Caenorhabditis elegans: one gene and its partner. The protein of the gene in region 1 purifies or fractionates together with the protein of each later gene. This does not show direct contact. Each region holds a gene or a part of one and is shown on either strand. Other genes may lie near its edges.

Region 1 (10,855 bases):
ACCTACTCTTCCTTCCCTTTTCACCCAATAAACATACACATATTATTGTTCTATTTCAGTTTAGAATTTCAATATTTTCATTCAATGAATTTTTGAGTTTCTAACCGTAAGAAAATTGATATACAGGCATTACTCTAAAGTTGAAAATATGTCAAAATCTAAAGCGACTGAGCGTATTATGGACAATGACAAAAGTCTACCGCACAGCCTAAGCCTCAAGTCTTAGACGTGAGTGTCGTATCTGGGTACCAGTGCTGTGCGGCTCTTGAAAAAAGTCGCCTCTCGGCTCGCGCCGAGAGCCGAGTCTAAATTTTTTTCAGCTCTCGGCTGACGCCGAGAGCCGAGGACTGTTTTGTTTTTCGGTATCGGTTTTCGCAGACTCTATCAAATTAACATTAACTCATAATTTTTGAACAATAGCACCAATGTTTCTCAACAGAAAATAAATAACTTAAACAAATGTAACCAATAATAAAAATTGTCCATTAATCGATTGTTGGTTTCTCCGTCAAGTTTATAACGTCGGATTCAGTTCCAGCTGCATCAGTTTTGACAAATTCCTTGTTCATTAATGGAACATTGATAGATAAAAACAACATTTTGTTTAAGTTTTCATGACTCATTGACTTTCGATATTTTGTTAGAATAATGCTGGTACACTGAACACCCCCAAACAAAAACCTAAAAAGCCGACTAAAAAAATCGGCGCGCGCCGAAAAAAGAAGGCTCGCGCCGAGAGCCGAGAGCCGCACAGCACTGCTGGGTACCTTCACTTTCATGGTAGGCTACCACGTATGCTTGCGTGCCTACCTCATACCTTCCAATTTCGTTTTGATCTAAAATTCAATTCACATTATTTTATCACGTATCTGCATCCCATGGGGAATTTTTTTTAATTTTCATATTCACACGAAACGATTTCAATTTTGCACTATGACTCATAGAAATGTGTCCCAAATGTACCCCATTACACATATATAATAGGATGTTTTCCTTTCAGATTCTTTCATTTTTTGTTTTTAAGATTCAGTTGTTAGATTTATTTCGGAAAACATTTTAATAGTTTTAGGATTTTAAATAAAATGTCCTAGAAACACAAAAACCTCGGTCACCAATTTAGCCTATATTTTTCAACGACGAAATATCTGAAGCTTGTTCAAAGTAGTGCTGGGGGTGCTTCTCTTCTCAAGACTGTGGTTACTGTACTTGTCTGGTTTTTATTTCAAAATTTCTAGTCACGTTAGAAACAAAAAAGCGTTCGGACAAAAAAAGAATGCGAAGGTCACTCTCGATTTCTCCGGCAGAAGCCGATCTTAACTTTTCAACTTTCAAAAATATTGTTTACAAAAAGTATAAATGTTTATTATATCGGAAATTTGATACCTTTTTTGACAAATTGGTCCGAAAATTGTGTACTTTTGCAGTTTGATTCAAATGACCTACCTCAAAAATACCAAAAACTGCCAAAACATTTTGCAAGTCAATATATGGAATTTGTAATTTTGCCCACAATTGAGTATAGACATTTTAAACAAACTATTGAACACCTCGTAGAACACATAAAACGCAAATTTCCAATTTCAAAATCGAATGAATTTTAAAAATTCAAAATCTACCGTAATCTCCCATTCTATTATACTTTTTCCAATCTTCCCATGACTTTTCAATCCGCCTTTTGTTCAATTTATTATTAAATCAATAGAATGGGACATAATTCGTGTGAAACACATGTGTATACCACCATCAAAGCACCTCGTGTCGTTTTCACATTCTTTTTTTCTCGCCAATCCTTATTTGTCTTTTCATTTCTTTGAAGTTTTTTGTTTTTAATTTGGTGCTTTCCAAAAGTTTTCAGTTTTTCTTGATTTCACCTACCTGAATAACCCTTAAAATTACTGGTTTACTGTAGTGTTAGAGGGACTGTAGTTAAAGGTTTGTAAGGAAAAAAAGTCGATTCAAAAAATTATATTCAATAAATGGAGGAAAATTGCCAAAATAAAAAGTTGGGGAATTCGAAATCTGAAATTTTCGGAATTTTCGAATTTCAACAAAAAAAATTTCAATAAAAAAAAATCTTAATGTATTTTTTAATTAATAAACAAAATAAAACATTTTCATCAGACTAAAGCTCTTTTAAAAACAAAAAATGCGGAAAAAAGTGACACCTCCTTCAAGATTGCTTATATCAAACTACCTTCTTTACACAGAACCCAATTTTTAGAATAATCTTTCACATTAACCCAATTTTTATGTTTTTCTTGACGATTAATATTATTTTTATTTACTGAAATACTCTTACTTTCCTTTGCGTGACTTTCATACTTCCATTAATTAATTTCCAGAGACTTTCAGGTCCGTTGCACCATGTCCGACGACGAAATCGTTTGCATTTTAGACACCCGTAACAATCAAAAAGAAAAAGACCGGCAGATAACTCGTGAAGTGAACAATTTGATAATTGAACAAGAAAATACTCAGAATCGTGTCATTGCTCCATCTCCACAATTGATGGTTGCAATCAGACAATCTGTTGAGCAGAGGCAAGAGTATATTAGAAGAATGTCAATTGATATTCAAAGAATGTTGATTCCGTATGGAGAAGATGTTTATTTGATCAGTGATATGATGGTATGATATTTTCTTGCCGATAGCGGAGGCGGGGCGTAGCTTGCAAACACGCGGCGCGGTTTTTCCGATTTTTTTCAATAATTTTTAAAAAATCTAGTAGAGCTTTTTCTCCAAAAACATGTTTTTTTTGCATTTATTAGCACTCTGTTACTTTTGGCGATTTTTTGAGAAAGGCTCGTCTAGAATCAGTTAAATTTTTTTCTAGAACTATAGGCAGGTAGGGGAATTAGGTAGGCTTCATGTAGGCACATAGGTCAGCACTTAGGCAGGCAGGTATAGGCCCGGTTTTTCCAAATTGTTTTTTGAAAGCTGTGGTTTTTGTGGTTAGGTTTTTGCGATGAAAATGAAATATCAGTCTTTGTATTTATCGCAGAAGTTTAATATTTTTGTCCGGAGCCTGCCTGTTTGTCTAAGTGCCTACCTACTTGCCTACGTACTACGTTCTAACAACGTTTTCATCTGATTGTAGGGAAACCTCTGATAGGTTCATATAAGCTCATAAAAACAAAACATATCGCAAAACGATGAAAAATTCAAAATATGACAAAAAAGCACCGAAAAACGTTGCATATAAAATTTAGAAAAATCAGGTAACTTGAAAACTGCCATATTTCTGGGAAGCAAAATAGGGAATACATATATGTATGTAGTTACAAAATTTTTCAGCTCTTAAAAGAGGAAGTCGTGCAACATATTGATTTCCAATTCCTCAAAAATAAAGTGGTACCGCCACCGCCCGTGTTCTACAGTAGTGTAAGTTTTCTATAATACTTTACCAATTTTCCAAACTCTCGAATACATAAACTATTTGTAAAATCCCCCGGAGGTATTGAAAATTAGAATTTTCTTAAATGTTTGTTTAATATTTAGAAAACCTTGGAAAAAATTAATATAAAATGATGTACAATTTAAAAAATTCCAAAAAAACTATTATGTTTTAAATTTTGAATTTTCAGACAATCTACTTTTTGTACAAACAGGCGACTTGTCAAAGAATGGGCCCGATTTATCTGCAACAGCTTGGTAACGTTGTGGTATTGAATTTTCAGTTTATGAGAAGCTGAAATTAAGAATTGAATTTCTAGACTCTCCGTATAAAGGAAAACTATCCGGCCATCAAGACTATCTCGGATTATCCTTCTTTGAAATCAATTATTGAATTTTAGTATGTTTTTTAAACTTTATTTTCAGAAGAACCCACTTTTTGAATATTAATTTCTAGAGTGAAAATTTTAAAAATGTTTTTTTCAGTAGTCGCTTCGAAATGGGAAATGGTCCGGATTTTTTCGTCAAAAAAGAAGAGTCACAAAGACAGTTTGAGGTAAATTTAAATTAAATTATTATATATTTTTAATTTTTGAAAGTTTTTCTTTTTATTTCCAGGTTGTCCTTGGCGAGGCGTTTCAGTACATCAACTTGTTTCACAAGAAACACGGGACACCACCTGCACCTCCACAGTTTCTGATTAAAGTGAGCTAGATGCTAGGGTATCAGCCTGTTGCATGATCAATAAATTTCAGTTCTGCATTCTCATGCATCAACTAGGATTTCAAGAATGGACAGCCGAGAGCTTTGACGTAATTGTGGTGGATAGATTGGTGAGCAAATAAATTTGAATTTTTGTGAAATTAATTTTTATATTTTTCAGAGGAGAAACCTTCGGAACATTGATCAACGTTTCTTTGATTCAATTCGAGATGCTTTTGGAATTTATCTGAAGCGTTTTTAAATGTTATTGTTTTTTTTGTTTTCCATTGGAATGTTTGAATATTGAGTGAATAAAATATATTTTGAGCGAAATTTAATGAGTTTAATCTTGATTTAAGTATATTTTGGAAACCTGCGTACTTCTGAAGATGCTTCTAAAAAAATCGGAAATTTTGTATGACGAAAGTTTCAGATTTTTTACGATAGACTGTAAGTATAAATATTAACAACACAAAGTTCTGAGAATTTGTATTGCGAACGCGCAAAATATCTCGTAGCGAAAACTACAGTAATTCTTTAAGTGACTACTGTAGCGCTTGTGTCGGTTGGTTTACGGGCTCGATTTTTATGTTTTTTAATCATTGATTTATGGATAGAATATTATAATTAAGCAAAAAAAAAGGAATATCGCTGTCACTAATCGAAAATAAATTAATTTCAAAAATCGACACAAGCGCAACTGTAGTCATTTGAAGAATTACTGTAATTTTCGCTACGAGATATTTTGCGCGTCTTATATGTTGCGCAATACGCATTCTCTGAATTTTGTATTCCCGTAATAAAACAGCTGTGATAAAAAACATGTAGAAGCCAAGAAGAGCATTCTTATTCAGAAAAAGCAAGGTTTAACATGCTTTGAAACACAAAGAAAATTTCAATTTCCAGATTGTTCAAAAATCCCTATTTTTATTGCTTTCTCTGGTGGTCAAGTGAATGAAAAGATCTTCCCTGAAACTTCTGAAAAATTGACTACAATAATTTCTAGGAATGTTCGAATTTATATAAGGAAAATACATTGGAAATAAAAATATAATGACAAAATTTAGATCCACTTCTCGCTGTCATCCTTTTTGATTTGCTCCTTGAGCTCAGACTCGGCTTTATCGTCAATTTTGCTGAGAGCTCTGAATCCTTCATCACCAACAAAACAGATTTCATGCTCATCTGGATCGGCAAGAATCACAACTTGAACATCGGCTTTTCCTGGAGTTTCGAGAGTTGTGAGCTCGTTTATAATAGTTCCATTGGCTGATTTGATCTTGTCTTGGAGAGATTCGAGCTGGAAAATTAAATATTTAGATTTTTAATAGAAAATATCAACAATTACCTTATCTTCAGGATAACTGAATGCAATTCTTCCGAATCCAGTTTTTCGATCAATTTTATCCTGAGACTTCACAATCTCCAGCTCACACTGTCCATCACCATAGCTCATTCGAATTCTGCTCGACTTTTCCTCAACAATCGGCATTCCGAGAGTTTCATTCCAATATTTCTTGGATTTCTCTAAGTCTCCAACATTCACTTGAACTCTCAACACTTTTGGCGATTGATCAGCCTTTCCGATCTTGAATTCGTGGCCATCTGGATCCTTCACAGCTAGTCTTCCACATCCAGATTTACGATGATTGATTTTTTCGACTTTTTCGAAGAGTTGATCAGAATCGATGACGATTGCCTGAAATAAAATTGTATTAATAATATCAAGACTCAAGCTTTCTTACTCTATAATCATTACCCAACTCATACTTATGAATTGGATAATTATATGTGATCTCTAGAACAAAATGCTCATCCTCTGAGCCATATCCAATCATTGTCTTGCTCCATCGTCCGTTATATGGTCCATTGCAAGTTGCTTCGCATCCTTTTTCGAATTCCTCGTGGCGAAGAACCTGAGAGTTAATTTACAGCTTAAATAAAAATTATGTGAATACTCACTTTCATATTCAGAACATTTGTGAAAAAGTCGATGGTCTTGGCACGATTCGCCACTTTGAAGACGTAGTGAAGAGCGCGAGCTGTCATTTCTGGAGAATAATAATACAATTATTTTTCGATTAACTTCAAGGGATGTTCACTCAAATGAATGGGTCTCGCCGCGCTCACTTAAGATTACTGTAGGAAATTCAAGTACAAATACAATAATGGGTCTCGAAACGACCAAAGCTTCGAAGCTACCGTACCCGTATATTTATATTTTTAAAAATTGTCTAAAAATATTAAAAGTATATGGGTTCTAAATTTTGGAATATTCAATAAAATAAATATGGAGGAGAATATTGTGAGTTACTGAAAAGATAGATTAAATTAACGGAAAATATACCATATGGCGAAAAAACTATAGTTTTTCAAAATATATCGATTTAAATTTTTTAAAAAATTAATATTTCTCTAAATTAATAAGAAATTATCGTATATTATTGAAAACTCTATTTTTTCTCGAAAGATTAAAAATTGAATCTCGGGGAGTTTAAAAATGCATAGCAACGAAACATCGATAAAAATCTTGCAGTAGAAAAGAGAAAAAGCGAGCGGAGGAATAATAAAATGAAGCGATTTCTGCAGTATTTATAGTGAGTGTTTGGAGGCCGACCCGCGCGCTCATTGATGTGTTTTTTTGCTTTTTAAAAATCGCGAATGAACCAGAAAATATAAAAACAACATGGCAAATACCTCAAAAATCAGTGCGAAAGACTGCGAGGAAAACAAGAAAACAACGAGTCAATTTATTTGCGAACAGAAAACTGGGGAAAATTGAAAAAGAACAAAACTACGGAACATTTGGAATTCAGGGAGCTAAATACGACAAAAAAAAGGAAAAAAGTCAAATTGAAAGCGATAACCATAAAGTAGAATTTGAGTTTTCAGAGAGAAATAATCAATTTCCACCAAATGCTAAACGTTTTCACTTAATTCAATATCTATACGGGGGAACTGTGATTAGGCATATCTGGCCTTGCATTGCTTGAAAATATCATTGAATCCGTTGCACAGAGAAACATCAGATTGGTTTTGTGCGCAGTCCACAAATTGTCTCCACTCGAATTCGCATGGCTGCGAGTAGCCAGAAGCTTGTGGAGCACCGGCTGGAGCAGCAGCAGCAGCTGGAGCTTGCTCGGCATGAGAGCTACCGCCTCCGGTGAACATTCCTCCGACGGCGTGACCCTGGAATTTTAGAATTCGATATTTTAATTAAGTGTTTCCCAAATTATGGTCTTGGAAATAGGTTAGCTTCGAAATCCGGGGAATATATATATATTTAAATAAAACTACTCACAACAGCGGATCCAATGGCGACTCCTCCGGCGGTTGCAGCCATTTGCTTCATCAATCCTGGTCCCTGAGATGGAGCACCCATTGGGGCTCCCATTGGAGTTGGAGCTGCTGGTGGATGATAAGCTGGAGCAGCGGCGGCTGAAATATTATTTTAAGAGTTTTTGAAAAAAAATAATGGCTTAAATTTTACCTGGTCTTGGTGGTGGAGCGGCGAAGGATGACTGGGCGGCTGGACGTGGAGCCGATCGAACTGGGGCCGATGGAGATGGGGAAGCAGTGCGCCGACGAACCATTTTCTGAAATTGATAGAATTTCAATGAAGATTTCAAATAATTAAAACTGTGAACGAAAAAAGCCAGAAGATAAAATATTCGAATAAATTGAAACATTCTAAATTAACTTTTTAGTTAAAAATGACAGAAATCAGGAACTCTGTAGCCTCCACTAGTCTCGAAGAGCATTTATATTGTCCGAGTAGTGACGAAATAGTTCAAAAATCACTTGTCTGTTCAATGTGATGAGAGATAAGATTGCGAAATACGACAGGGAAACAAAAAATTGAGCTAAATCAAGCGAAATCATATTAGAATCATTAAATATAAATACAAGCTTTTCAAAGTTTGTATTATGCATTTTACAACAAATAAAAATCGTAATAAAAGCGTTGTAAGACTATTTTTTCTATTTTCAAAATTTACGTATCCGTGATGATAAAATTTAGATTGGAAAATCAACAATCTACTCATTTCTATAATTTTTAATTAAAAATTGAATCAATTCAAATAGTTTATTTGTCAAATGCCTACAAAAATGCCATTCGATTTACTAGCGGAAAGAAAAAGATGGAATGCCGGGTACGAATCAATCGATACAAGCAGCCAAAAGGTAAAATTATGTTGTGTAAAGCTGAAAACGTGGAGTTTAGCTCAAGAGGAGATTCTTAGTATTTTTTCGGTCTGAAATGCATTTGTAAATTGAAATCAACAAATATATCTTTGAAGAAATGTGTTTAAATCATATAAAATACACATAATTGCTGCAACGAAGTAAAATACATTTTTCAGCTGACGGAAGTGGTGACGCCCATCACAGTCACGTGGGAAAACATCGAGTAAGTTGGAAAATTGACGAATAGTAACATCACATAACACGCCCAGAGCAATTTACTAATTTTTAAGTCATAATTTTTGTAAAATATAAACAAATCTTCAACACAAAGATCAAAAAACAAAGAAAATTCGAGAAAGAAATGATAAAAATGATGATGATTTGCGCGTAGGCTGTGATGCATTCCGCAGCGGTACGCAAACACCGCTTGCACACCGTAGTTCTGAGAAATACGCGGGTGTTTGAATTTAATATTTTCATATTTCAGGGTAAAAACTCGGAAAAAGCTATTTTCCAAAAAGCAGAAGCAACTGTTAAATAGAGTCTCGGGAATAGCAAAGCCAGGAGAAATGGTGGCATTAATGGGTGCAAGGTAAAACTTTAGTTATGTTATAGTTATGAAGTTATAGTTATGAAGCAATTTTGTTCAGCGGAGCAGGAAAAACCACTCTAATGAATGTGCTAATGTGCAGGAATATGAAGGGATTGGAGAAGAATGGAACCGTGAAAGTGAATGGAACAAAGATCGGGAAGGAGATTTCATTGATTTCTGGTTTTGCACAACAACAGGAGATTTTCATTCCAACATTGACTGTTGATGAATATTTAATGATCCAGGTCAGCATTTTTTTTCGCACGAAAATACAGTATTTGGTCTTGGCACGAATAACATTTTTTGAATTAATGTCACCTAAAATAACGTGCGCCTTTAAAGAATACCGTAGTTTCAAGTAAAAATACTATACGGAATGAAAAGTACAGTAACCTTTTAGAGGCGCGCATTCTTTTCTGGAGTTTTGATTTGAGAATACTTTGACCGTTTCAAGACCTAAAACTGTAATAATCAGAAGACAGTGTTTGATCTCCAGAACTCCCGATTTCTGAAGATCAAGCGTCAGCGCCTACTCGATACATCAAACTTTACGCGCAAACTCCCAAAAATTTCAGGCAAGACTTCGGATGAAAGCCAATAAACATACACGTAGAGAACGAGTGGATGAGATTATTGAAATGCTGAGACTCCAAAATTGTCGAGATTTGAAAATTGGAACACCTGGACTCGTAAAAGGAATTTCCGGTGGTGAAGCCCGTCGTTTGACATTTGCCTGTGAACTATTATCCAATCCATCACTACTTTTTGCTGATGAGCCAACGTCTGGACTTGATTCATTTATGGCTGCAAGTGTTGTACAAATTTTGAAGAATCTCGCGAATTCCGGTCGAACACTGATCCATCAACCTACTGCCGAGCTCTTTTTTCAATTTGACAAAATTATTTTCTTGTCGATGGGAAAAACCGCTTTTATGGGAACACCTCATGAGTCCGTGAAGGTAATTTTGAAATTTAAGAAATTATTTAAAGGCGCACGCCAAAAGGTCTTGGCACGACCGAAACTGAGGATTCAGAAAAATATTAGTGAATGTGGAATCTGCGAAAAAGTACAGTACTCTTCAAAGGCGCATACCGAAATGTTTCAGTCGTGTGGAGACCCTCATCTGCCTATAATTTTGAATCGAAAATCGAATTGTTCGGATACCCAACTATAATTTGAATTTACAAATTTTCGAATAAACCTTTTTTCCAGTTTTTCGCTGACTGTGGCCATCCAATTCCGAAATTATTCAATCCACCTGAATGGATACAATCCAAATTGTCAGTGATACCAAACAACGAGACAAAGAGTCGAGAAACAATTGGAAAAATTATTGAATTTTATGAAAAATCGATAATTCATCAGAAATCTATAGTGGAAATACGTGTGATTGCGACTACAGAGCTACCTCCATATATAGAGAATCCAGGATTTTTTGCCGAAACTGGAGCATTGTTAAAGAGGTTGGTTATCTGGAAAAATAATAGTTAAAGCACGCTTCTTTATGGTAAACTACGAAATGCACCATGTTTGAACCACAAACTGTTGCTGAACTTTGACATCCCATAGCTCAGTTGTTTTTGATTTTTCGAAATTTTGCCAATTGACAAAATATTTATCATGTATTTTTCTATAGTTTTGTAGTTCAACATTTTCTGATATCTATAAAATGACCCGAGATACTATAAGTTGCCAAAATTTTGTTTGGAAATCCTACCACGATTGCACTTTATAAAAAACCAGCTGTGGTCCGCACCTTCGGCGCGGCCCCCGACTTCTAGAGCTGAAAATTAATTTTTATGAAACTACCGTAACCCTACAGTATTCCTACCGTACCACTATTGTACCACTACAGTACCCCGACTATATCCCTACACTAACCCCAACTCACTATCCCTCCAGAAGTCAAAACTTCACAGACTACAAAGACTACATAGACTACAAACTATGGACACACAGAATAAGCGCTTTATATATAG
Region 2 (11,029 bases), on another chromosome or scaffold:
TGAGTGCTGGCGGTTGAGTTGTTGCTGGTTTGACTATTTCATCTTTCTGTAAAGTTGTTGGAAGACGCTCTAAGTACTTGATAAGACGATTGCAATCCCGTTTTTGTTCGTAATATGGTTCCAATTCCTCCACATCGATTGGCGCTTCTGAAAAAAAAATTGTCTTAGATATTGTGAAATGTGAAAGTTCTAGTTGACCAATTTCGAATGCATACGTTTCGGTCTCTGACAACTGGAAAAAAATGATTTCGCAACCCAATCCGACTTACTTATTTTTCGTGCGCTTGGGAATGACATTGGCACGCTATTGCCGTTCAGTTTGTTGTCGTTCAGCCAGTTTTTGTATTCCTCTCTGTCATCCTCGTAGGTGGATATCAAAGATTTGCGGCGGGAATTTGCACCTTGTAGTTGATGCTTGAGGTCCCGGATCTCATCTTCAATGTGTCGCCGCTCTTGCTTCATTTGCTTAAATCGGTTCTGGCAGCTAGTGAGTTCAAAGTAGACTTTCTGAATTTGATGGGATGAGTACCACAGTCTCTTTTATCATTAATAATATACTAACGTGTTTCTGTATGCGATTCTTCTCCAATTCCTGATCCATTCCTTTACGATGAGATGTGATTTCAGCCAATGACCTGAAATCATATCGCTATATTTTTTCAACTAAGAACATGAAAATCGTACTCCAACAACTTTTTATTTCTCTTCAACGCATCGATTTCCGTTACTAATGCCTGTTCATCGCGAGCCGACAGGTTCCGCTTGTATCGTTCCTGATGCTCCAGGAGCAGGCGATCTAAATGATCTTTGTTTCGGATGCGGCAATCGCGCTCCAAATCCAACTGCTTTGTTCTCTGTAAAAATTTTAATGTACAGTTTTGTTTCACAATGATCACTGCACAAAGGCATTATTCTATTATTAATATTTATTTTATCAAGTTGAATAACTACAGGTTTTGTTCTCAATATTTGTAGGTCACAGTAAATTTACAACTTTATTTGTAAAAATCTATTGTTTTTTTTTTTAATTTGATTAGTTTATATTATTGTTCCATGTACATCGTTTGATACACAAATTTTACAAAGAAAAAGCTGAAAATCCCAGATATTTTCTATTATTTTGATATTAATTTTAATTTTTTCAGCATCGTTGTTTTACAAAAAAAAACCCCCAGAAGCATTTAGACTTTTGTACTACTCAGCCTGGATTGCAAAGACGGTTTTAAACACACAAGCGTTGACCGCATTGTATGCTCTCAGCTGTTTCCCTTCGGCTCGCATTAGTTGTTCAGTGCGGTACCAACGCGTAACTGCCCAGTTTAAAACACACAGTTACTTTTTTGTAATTTTTTCAACATTTCAATTGGGCAACTATTTGCATCATTTTTGCTTCATGATCTTACCTGGCTATCAATGTTCACTTTGATCTTATCCCCGTCTCCTTTCAACTGTGCAAGATCAACTCGGAGTTGGTTACGTTTGTTTCTCATCTCGTTTTCAAGTGGGTTGGCATCTAGGCATGTTTTGCATCGCATTTGGATCTAGCAAATTAATAAAATTCATAAGAACAATTCTGAAATTGAATCCAACCTGAGATCGAATCTTTCGAATTTCCGAGTGGAACCCCTCCAAATCATTTTCAAACCGTTGACGATCTGGTGGGTTTGTACCAGTCTTTTCATTAACTTCTATGATATCATCTAGTGGTCGGTTCTCATGCATTTCTTTCCTATTACCTAGAAAAAAGAACGAATTGGGCGAATTGTGGATTTGAAGAATTCCTGACAAGAATAATAAACACATATGCAAAACCAAAAACAAAGGTTGGAGAAGCGATCCTTGAAGAAAAGATGAAAATGACAGTGAGAGAAAAGATAGAAGAGAGGAGTTGGGAGTGATAAGGCAAAAAGAAAAAAACGACGAAAGTATGAATAGTGAGGAAAAAAGGAGAAAAAAGTGCACTTGTGTAGGTGATAGAAAAAGTGGAGTTTGAAACGGCGCGAAAATCGGTTGATCAAACAGTTTTATCACGTGGAAAACCCCGGAGAGTGACCATCGAACCTTCTGGCGGAGACTCCGATTATTTATCAAGGATGATTCATAGCCACTTTGATCAGTATTAAAGTTTGCAAGGCCAGAGTAGTCTTTCTTATCAGATGGACGGAATCTTGTGTCTCTATTGTGGTTTATGCACTCGGTAACACATTCTGATTTAGCTATTTGATTCTTCAAAAAAAATCTATAAGAAAAAAAATATATAAAACACAATCTAATCATTCAAAATGACATACTGTTTTAAGAACACAGTGATTTATGTTGAAATGTTTTGATGAAAATGATTGTTTTTTATCAAGCTGAATAACAAAATCTAAAAAGCCAATTGGTAACCCGCCAAAACCATTAAGCTAGGATAGACCAAAATTTAATTGAAGCAATAAAACTTTAAGAATAGTGTAAGTACGCCTTGATTAGAAAGCCTAACGCTGGTCATCAAGTTCAATTTCAATGCAAACAGCGATAATTTTTTAACTAACTTGTCTCTGCATAACTTAACGTCTGAATACTTCGATGGACTATTTTAGGTGCTTCACGTTTAGTTGTAGACTGAATAATTGTATGAAAACTCAATACTCACATCTGAAAAACTATTGCAAGCCAGTGAAAAGGTGCAAGCTTTGATTTTTGCATCATATCTTCAAATGCGAAATCAGTGAAATTTTATACATATGTATTAGATATGTATCTCAATTTGGTTTATAGTTTACAGAGCCTACTAGCAAAATAGATTGGAAAATCTGTAGAAATATATTTTCTGTTTCAAAAAACTGAGGCCACTACTCGCAGTCTCCATGAAAACTAAATCTGACCGCCTTAGTCCTATTGTGTCACATTACACAACCCTTAGCAACATGTTTGTTCGCAAATTAGTGATATGAGACAGTTGGAGAAGCGCAGACATTGAGCGTGTGAACATTTTCGAAAATATTCGAAACAACTTGGCACGGGGCGCCACACTGATTGAAAATACTGAACATTAAAATTCGAAAATCAATAAACAAGTGTCCTACGTTGCCTTATCCAAAAATAAGAATGGAAGACTATCGTCAGGTCTTGTGACTTCTCAGACTTTTTATGGAAGCTTCCCCGGTCCCTCAGTCCTTATCACACGTCACATATAACCAGCAAGCCAAAAACACATTGCAAAAGAGGAAAGAGAGTGAGAGAAAAGAGACATAGAGATAGCCAGAGACACACACATAAACCAACGGACACCAACGCTGCCTGTTGGGGGCAGCAGCAGCGTTTTCGCTTCCCCTCCAACCGCCCATACGGACTCTGCGTATCACATCTCTCGCTTCTGCTGCGACCTCTCTGCGTAGCGTGCTGAGCGACGCGGACGGACTAGGCACACACACACGACTGACACGTCTATATTGTTGTGTCCCGGAGAGACTATCTACCCCTCCACTGTAACCTTTAAATTCCCCAAAAAACCCAAAAAAATTAGACTACTTTAATCAAAAACTTCAACAAAAACCAAAAAAAAAACTCAACATCAACTAATATTCTTGCTGATTGGAAATCATCACCTGCAAACGAACCAACAAAGAAGTAAGTTTTTTTTTGAAGTAAATATGTAGAAATGCTTGAATACTCATCAACCAAGTTTCAATAAACCTGTCCTATCATTATCGAACGTCTTTCAGCTCTTCCCATATTCAGACTTAGCAATAAGTGTTTCTCACTTCTCTGTAAATTTCGCAATTATCGAACAAAAACACCATATGACGGAGACTGCAAATGATAAAAATAGGCAAAATAGGGCCCAGAATCACATGTTTCTATACAATAACATAGGTGTCCTTTTCCTTGCTCGCTATCATTCTGTTTTCCAATTTTGTTTCCGTTCGGTTCCAACACGTCAAAAATTGAAAAACGAGGGCGCCGAGCGAGAGCGAAGCAGCCATAAAACCGTCATGTTTATATGTTGTGGCAGTTGAAGAGAATGCATGAATCATCTCACTGGGCCCCTCATTCGCTCCTCTCCTTTCGCCGCAGTCCGTTTAGTTATTGTCGAATCATCACCGCCACCAATCATCACAACACAGCCGCATTCCTTGTCCTGCTTCTCTAGCGGCTCAGATAATATCAATCGTCTTCTTCCTCCGTGGTGTAAGGAAGAGGGTGAGGCTTGTGTCGACGACAGTAGATCCTGAACAGATAGCGAAGAATAGTAAGGGGGAGGGAGATCAAAAACCAATCAATTCGATAGGCGATTGTCAATACACGAGTGAATTAGAATCATCCATAAAACTATACATTTTCTACAGTATTCTCTCCCACTCTTTTTGGTTTCCTTTCCTGTTAATTCGTTTCACTCTCTTCTTCTCCTCTCTCGGTTTTTTCTTCTTCCGCAAAACTATTGTCGCTATCTGTTGCGCCTGACGCGATCGTTCGTCGTCCCCTCGCTCCCGAGGCAGGCCCATGCTGCAACAGCAATATATCTATATATTCAATAGACGATAAAAAGCAGCGGGGCAAAAAGAAGAAAAAGAGAAAGAGTGTTGGCTGGGCTTCTTCTCCTTGTTCACTCCCGGTTTTCCATCATTGACTCCGATGTTTTTTTCTTTTCCTATTGCCTTAGCATCGGATGTTTCACATCCTAATCTTTTTACGTTCGACTTTCCATGTTCCTTATGGATTTCTATAATCTCGTAAAAATACAGTAGAAAGCAATTTTCATGCCCATTCCAACACAATAAAGATACGTCGTTGACACGCCAGGGCATTTGAGCATTGCACCCAATTTCCACTCCATTTATAAATGTGGGCGAAAGATGAGGAAAGGAGGGCTGCACGCCTTTTTTCTTACTTGCCTTCATTCACGCCTTCCCTTGTTCAGTCACTTTAGTTTCTCCCATTTTGCTCATTCTTATGTGAATTTGGTTTCACAATACATTTTCCTGCTCTCGTCCTTTTAGCAATTTTCTATTTTTCAGTACGATGGCCCAAGTTCCACCGCCAATGACTCAAGTGGTTACCAGTGCTCCACCACCGACCGCAGCAGCAACCGTCGTCGCCGGTGCAGTTGCCGGACAACCACAAGCCGTCATTCAGCAGGGTCCACCGCCAACAAACATAGGATACCCGCCAAATGCAACCTATTCGATGGCTTCACTCTACATTGGTGATCTTCATCCCGATGTTTCAGAGGCTATGCTATTCGAGAAGTTCAGTATGGCGGGACCGGTGCTTTCAATCCGAGTGTGCCGCGACAATACCAGCCGCTTGTCGCTCGGGTATGCCTACGTCAACTTCCAGCAGCCTGCTGATGGTGAGTTTGCATTTTGATTAAATTCAGAAATTTTGTGAGATAGCTCTTTAACATCTGAGACGCAATGCACAGCGAAAGGGAAGATTGTTGTATGCACAACAGGGGACGTTGTACATATATCACATGAACACACCAGTACCAAACCGTGCTCTCTCACCTCGCAACAACAGTCCCCGTTCTGCTCACACATCTCTCTGTGCAGAATTGCGCAATAAAGAGAGCCACTAGAAGAGTTGCCACGTCACAGTATGACGTAGTCTGTGGGAAACAAGTGTTTATAGAATGCATACCAGGTGCTAGAAAATTTGAATGCTTGTTATATAAAAATGAGGAAGACAACTCATAAAAATATGTTTATTTCAATTTATCACATGGAATATAATAATTCTTACAGCCGAGCGCGCCTTGGACACTATGAACTTCGAAGTCATCCACGGACGTCCAATGCGTATCATGTGGTCCCAACGTGACCCTGCTGCTCGCCGTGCCGGAAATGGAAACATCTTCATTAAGAACTTGGATCGTGTCATTGACAACAAGTCCGTCTACGACACTTTCTCGCTTTTTGGAAACATTTTGTCTTGCAAAGTTGCCACCGACGATGAAGGAAACAGCAAAGGATACGGATTTGTTCACTTCGAGACTGAGCACTCTGCGCAAACTGCCATTGAGAAAGTCAATGGAATGCTTCTTTCTGATAAGAAAGTGTAAGTTTACCCTATTGAGTTGCAAGTTTAATCGTTTAAATTTTCAGCTATGTCGGAAAATTCCAACCTCGCGCACAACGCATGAAGGAGCTTGGAGAGAGTGGCCTCAAGTACACCAACGTCTTCGTCAAGAACTTCGGCGAGCATCTCGACCAGGAAAAGCTTTCCGCAATGTTCTCCAAGTTTGGAGAGATTACTAGTGCCGTAGTGATGACCGATGCGCAAGGCAAACCAAAAGGTTTTGGATTTGTCGCTTTTGCTGATCAGGATGCCGCTGGTCAAGCTGTTGAAAAACTCAACGACAGCATTTTGGAAGGAACTGACTGCAAGCTTTCAGTCTGCAGAGCTCAAAAGAAGTCTGAGCGTTCTGCAGAGCTCAAGAGAAAGTACGAAGCTTTGAAGCAAGAGCGTGTCCAGCGTTATCAAGGAGTAAACTTGTACGTCAAGAACATTGAGGAAGATCTCAACGATGATGGTCTTCGTGATCACTTTTCTTCCTTCGGAACAATCACTTCTGCTAAAGTTATGGTTGATGAGAACGGAAGATCGAAGGGATTCGGTTTCGTGTGCTTTGAGAAGCCAGAAGAGGCAACCGCTGCCGTCACTGATATGAACTCCAAAATGATTGGAGCCAAGCCACTGTATGTGGCCCTTGCTCAACGCAAGGAGGATCGTCGTGCTCAGTTGGCATCTCAGTACATGCAAAGACTTGCAACTCTTCGCATGGGACAGCAGGCCAGCGGAGTTCCAGCAATGACTCAGCTCTACCAGCCAGGACAACAAGGATACTTTGTTCCAAATCCAATGAATGTACGTTTCTACAAAGTTAATTCAAATGTCTTAATTTCTTAATTTACAGGCTCAAGGGCGTCCAGGATTCCAGCCACAATCTGCTCAAATTCGCGGACCACCAGGACAACGCGTGTTCCAAAACCAGATGTTCATGCAATATCCATTCAATCAGCGCCAAGTTTACCCACAACAACAGGGACGTCCACCAATGCGAACCAACGATGGTCGTCCACAATATGGAATGGCTCCAAGACCAGCCGGAGCACCACGTGTCGGAGGACCTGGAGTGCAGATGGGAGGGGCACCTATTCGTCAAGTAAGCTTTAATCCAGATAAAATGAATACTACTCTCTATTTTTCAGCAAGGACCAGCCCCACGCGGAGCACCACAGAAGCCGTTCTACCAAGGACCACCACGCCAGCAACAACCACAACAGCACTCCCAGCAACCAGCACAACAGCCAGGACAACAAGGACAAGGACAATCCGGAATCGTTATTCACGGACAGGAGACTCTTACCTCCCATATGCTTGCTCAAGCTGCTCCACAAGAGCAAAAGCAACTTCTCGGAGAGCGTATCTATGCTCTTATCGAGAAGATGTTCCCGAACCACAAGGAGGCCGGCAAAATCACTGGAATGATGCTGGAGATTGACAACGCCGAGTTGATCATGATGCTCCAAGACGCTGAGTTGTTCAGAAGCAAGGTCGAGGAAGCCTTTGGAGTGCTCACCAATGCTCAGAGTGCTGCTGCTTCTACTTCTGCTCCAACTGCTAAAAACTAAGCTCTCTAACTTCATCTTGCATGCCAAGGTCGTAATATTCTCTGATATTCAGAGCAAAAATTGTTGGCTATACTTTTTGGTACTGAAAGCAGTATTCATTCTGCATTTCATAATTTCTCATCCAATTTTTTTACCTTCCCATTTCCTATTGTACTTTCTTCAAATAATCTTACAAAAAACCCCAAAAAAATTTAAAAATCTGGAGAAAAAATTAAAAAAAAAGGAAAAAAATTCAAAAAATTCAAAAAAATGCTTCTATTTTTCTTTATTTCAATTTCACATTTCTTGCTTGGTATTTAAAATTGTCTTGAACTGCGTTGAAGCTGATTTCTTTAACGAATGTGTATAGTTTCATCTGAAAATCCCTAAAAAAAAATATTTTTTCTTTTCTGGTCCTCTCTCTTGTCTCACTTCAATCCAATTCAACATTTATGTGTACTTTGTTACTTTCTCCAGAATTTCGGTGTTTTTTTTTTTTTCATCAAAAACTTGGAAACCTAGAGATTGCAACTAATTTTTAACATGGTAATTTGTTCGGCCTTGTAATGTACTCCGAAGCCCAAGCTCAGAACAAATCGTCTCACCCCCGCCAGCCAGCAATTTCATTGAAATTAGATGCTTCTTTCTGAATGCTTTGATATTTCTGTGCAACAATGTGCAACTTTGTCATTTCCCGCCTAATAATATGCTCTTTGTGTTAATAAGTATATTCCCACTTATATAAGTTATTGCAACTCTCACCCCTCCCCATCCTCCCATAAAACCTAAAATTTTTCTTTTGTACCCCAATTTGTACCCACATAACAATTGATACATCCATTCTGTGGTTTTTCCGATATCCCAACATCTTATCGTTTTCCCCAGAATTTTTCTAATTATCATTATAATAATTTTGTTGTAAACTTTTTGAATTAAATAATGATAAATGTATCTATAAAAGGAACTCATCTGTTCTATTTTCAAAATTACTTTCAAAATGCGGAGAAACACTCAATAATGGTGACCTGATATTTAATAACAACAGGATTACTTGAATATAACAAAACATAATGCGGCATCAAAAATCAATTTTCTTCAATTTGATCAATTTGCAAAAAATCTGAACAAGTTCTTACCTCTGAACTCTGAACTTTGAAAATGAATATCTGACTTAAAATGAACTTTTTGAAAATGTTTCTTCGGGGACTTGTTTCAAATTTTAAGCGCTTTCAGAATTTAATAACAAAATTTTTCCAGGTGCCAGAAGTTTTAGGTTCAATCCAGAAAACTGAATTTGAGCCATATAAATGACCGCATTTGTTTATTAGGAGATTTATTTAGTTTGTGTAACTTTGAAAATTAATATCTGACTTAAAATGAACTTTTTTGAAAATGTTTCTTCGGGGACTTGTTTCAAATTCTAAGCGCTTTCAGAATTTAATAACAAAATTTTTCCAGGTGCCAGAAGTTTTCAGTTCAATCAAAAAAACTGATTTTCAGGATCAATTTTAAAGTTATGAAATGTAAGTAAATATGAAAACAAATAATCGGTTATATTGCATCTAAAAAAGTGCGGTCAGCCACATGCCTAAAATTTCAGATTTTCTGTTTGAACTGAAAGTTTGTATTAAGTTAGTATTTTTTACTCTCCATCACGGAAATTGTAACTTACAATTTTGAAGTGTTAATTTCAATACTATTTGATAATAATAAGAACATATTTGTTTAGATTAAATTAAGGAGTTTCAATGAAATTCAAAATCATTATTGACAAGTCACAAGAGCGAAGGAAATCACGGTCAATGGTTTTAAAATCAGGCAAGATTTATAGAATAGTTTGTTCCACGAGAATTTCTCCGAATCCCGCTGGTGGAGCTTCCGTGAAGTTTTTGAATTTGAGATCGAGAATTGCTGAGTCGTCAACATACACCATAGGGTAAACCTGAAAATGATAACAATTTCAATAAAAAAATTGATTAGGAAAATTGTGGTTTGTGTCCAAATGGTTGCATTCCAAGCCAGGGATCATATTAAAAAGTTGAGCGCAACGAATGAATATTGAATCTTAATCTTATTAGGCACTGTTCCTAAGTGATTTCTTAATCCCTTCAAATAATCTCTTGGCATACCGGGCCTCGAACTCCAGTTATCACATCTTCCACTGCTTTTCCGTTTACATAGAACTTGAGCTCCACGTGGTCATATGCAACACCCTGAAAGGTTGAGTTTTTAACAGATTTACTTGGTAACAAATAGTTTAATACTTTTGTTTTTTTTTCTTTAAACTTCAAATTATATTTGAGTATTTGCAATCGTTACTTGAAATTGTATCACATTATTTGTATTCCATTGTAAGACATGTTAAGCTTTAAAAAAAACTAGCAATTTGTTTTGAAAGTACGAAATAATTCCATTTTTCTGCTTATAAAACGCACCACAACATCTCCTTCCTCCACAGTTTTTGTCATTTTTGCCACGACCTCATTTTCCTTTGCAATGTCTCCATTATCTCTGATTCCCCAAAACTTTTCAGTGCATGGGACTTTGTCGAATGGTGATTGCTTTTGTCCTAAGCCTATTCCCCATGTTCCTGAAAATAAGACATTTGTACTTTTTTAATTTCATTTGAGGAAACACTAGTTTTGAAAAACAAAAACTCACCGGTTTGTTGAACTGTCACTTGGAAATATGCTTTGTTTTGCACAATTGGAACAGTTGCAATCGCTCCTCCAATACCGCAAATTCGTTCTCCTTCTTTGAGAATAACTACATTTTTACCTATAAAAAGTTTAAAGTTCTTTTTTTTTTGCTTTTTTTTACTACATAGCGTATTTAGTAAAACATACTCATGTTAATGAAACTTTATCTGCTGGATTGTTAAAGGTGGAGTAGAGTCAAAAAATGTTTTGCTTTAAATGGCAGAAAATAGACCCTAGTGACCGAATATGACTGTGAAAAATATTAATAAAAACATTTTTCAATTTTTTATAAATTTTTTCAATTTTTCAAAAGTCAAAAAAAAACGCCAAAATTAAGTTTAAATTTCCGCGCAAATGAGAGACGTCATTTTTGATATTCTCACGTTTTCTGGCTGAATGCTAAAGTTTTTTTTCAAGTTTTTTCTCTGTATTTGGCTCTGTTTGTCAAATTTTCCAACATTTTTCCAAAAAAACCATATATAAAAGAATAATCAAGAAAAATCGACGAAAACGCGAAAATACCAAAAATGAAGTCATTCATTTCATTTTTGAGAAATTGAAAAAATTTTTAACACTTAGTTTTTTTTTTAAATATTTTCATTAGGGTCTATTTTCTGTCATTTAAACGAAAAAAAGTTGACTCTACTACACCTTTAAATATTTGTTTAAAGTGTGAAGATTTTGGAACGTGAACAAGCCAGCCAACTTTAAGTTCAAAACCATACCCATTCT

What was found.
Region 2: the proteins of glod-4 (region 1) and pab-2 fractionate together in Caenorhabditis elegans (co-fractionation; one large-scale study listed by BioGRID). This does not show direct contact.

What each region holds. Positions count from the first base shown.
Region 1 is NC_003281.10:4,148,890-4,159,744, reverse strand, and holds glod-4 (Glyoxalase 1), read right to left. Parts: upstream 6,147-10,855; 5' UTR 6,145-6,146; coding exon 6,058-6,144; intron 6,012-6,057; coding exon 5,841-6,011; intron 5,795-5,840; coding exon 5,444-5,794; intron 5,396-5,443; coding exon 5,159-5,395; 3' UTR 5,095-5,158; downstream 1-5,094. Other genes in the region: C16C10.9 (uncharacterized protein), read left to right, coding at 2,365-2,628, 3,295-3,381, 3,585-3,662, 3,714-3,793, 3,880-3,949, 4,012-4,098, 4,149-4,226, 4,277-4,357; har-1 (Hemiasterlin resistant protein 1), read right to left, coding at 7,060-7,284, 7,397-7,533, 7,586-7,688; ABC transporter ATP-binding protein/permease wht-3, read left to right, coding at 8,194-8,280, 8,460-8,506, 8,771-8,875, 8,934-9,120, 9,451-9,834, 10,089-10,339. UniProt on the Caenorhabditis elegans protein: Thought to act as a glyoxalase. May remove methylglyoxal from mitochondrial proteins. Has roles in reducing oxidative stress and increasing lifespan.
Region 2 is NC_003284.9:13,519,795-13,530,823, reverse strand, and holds pab-2 (Polyadenylate-binding protein), read left to right. Parts: upstream 1-5,000; 5' UTR 5,001-5,004; coding exon 5,005-5,335; intron 5,336-5,358; exon of another isoform or gene 5,359-5,565; intron 5,566-5,727; exon of another isoform or gene 5,728-5,729; coding exon 5,730-6,042; intron 6,043-6,089; coding exon 6,090-6,852; intron 6,853-6,901; coding exon 6,902-7,150; intron 7,151-7,196; coding exon 7,197-7,619; 3' UTR 7,620-8,562; downstream 8,563-11,029. Other genes in the region: F18H3.4 (Lebercilin domain-containing protein), read right to left, coding at 1-147, 270-507, 563-635, 685-854, 1,404-1,541, 1,591-1,722; F18H3.1 (SPRY domain-containing protein 7), read right to left, coding at 9,424-9,540, 9,728-9,811, 10,034-10,188, 10,260-10,376, 11,023-11,029.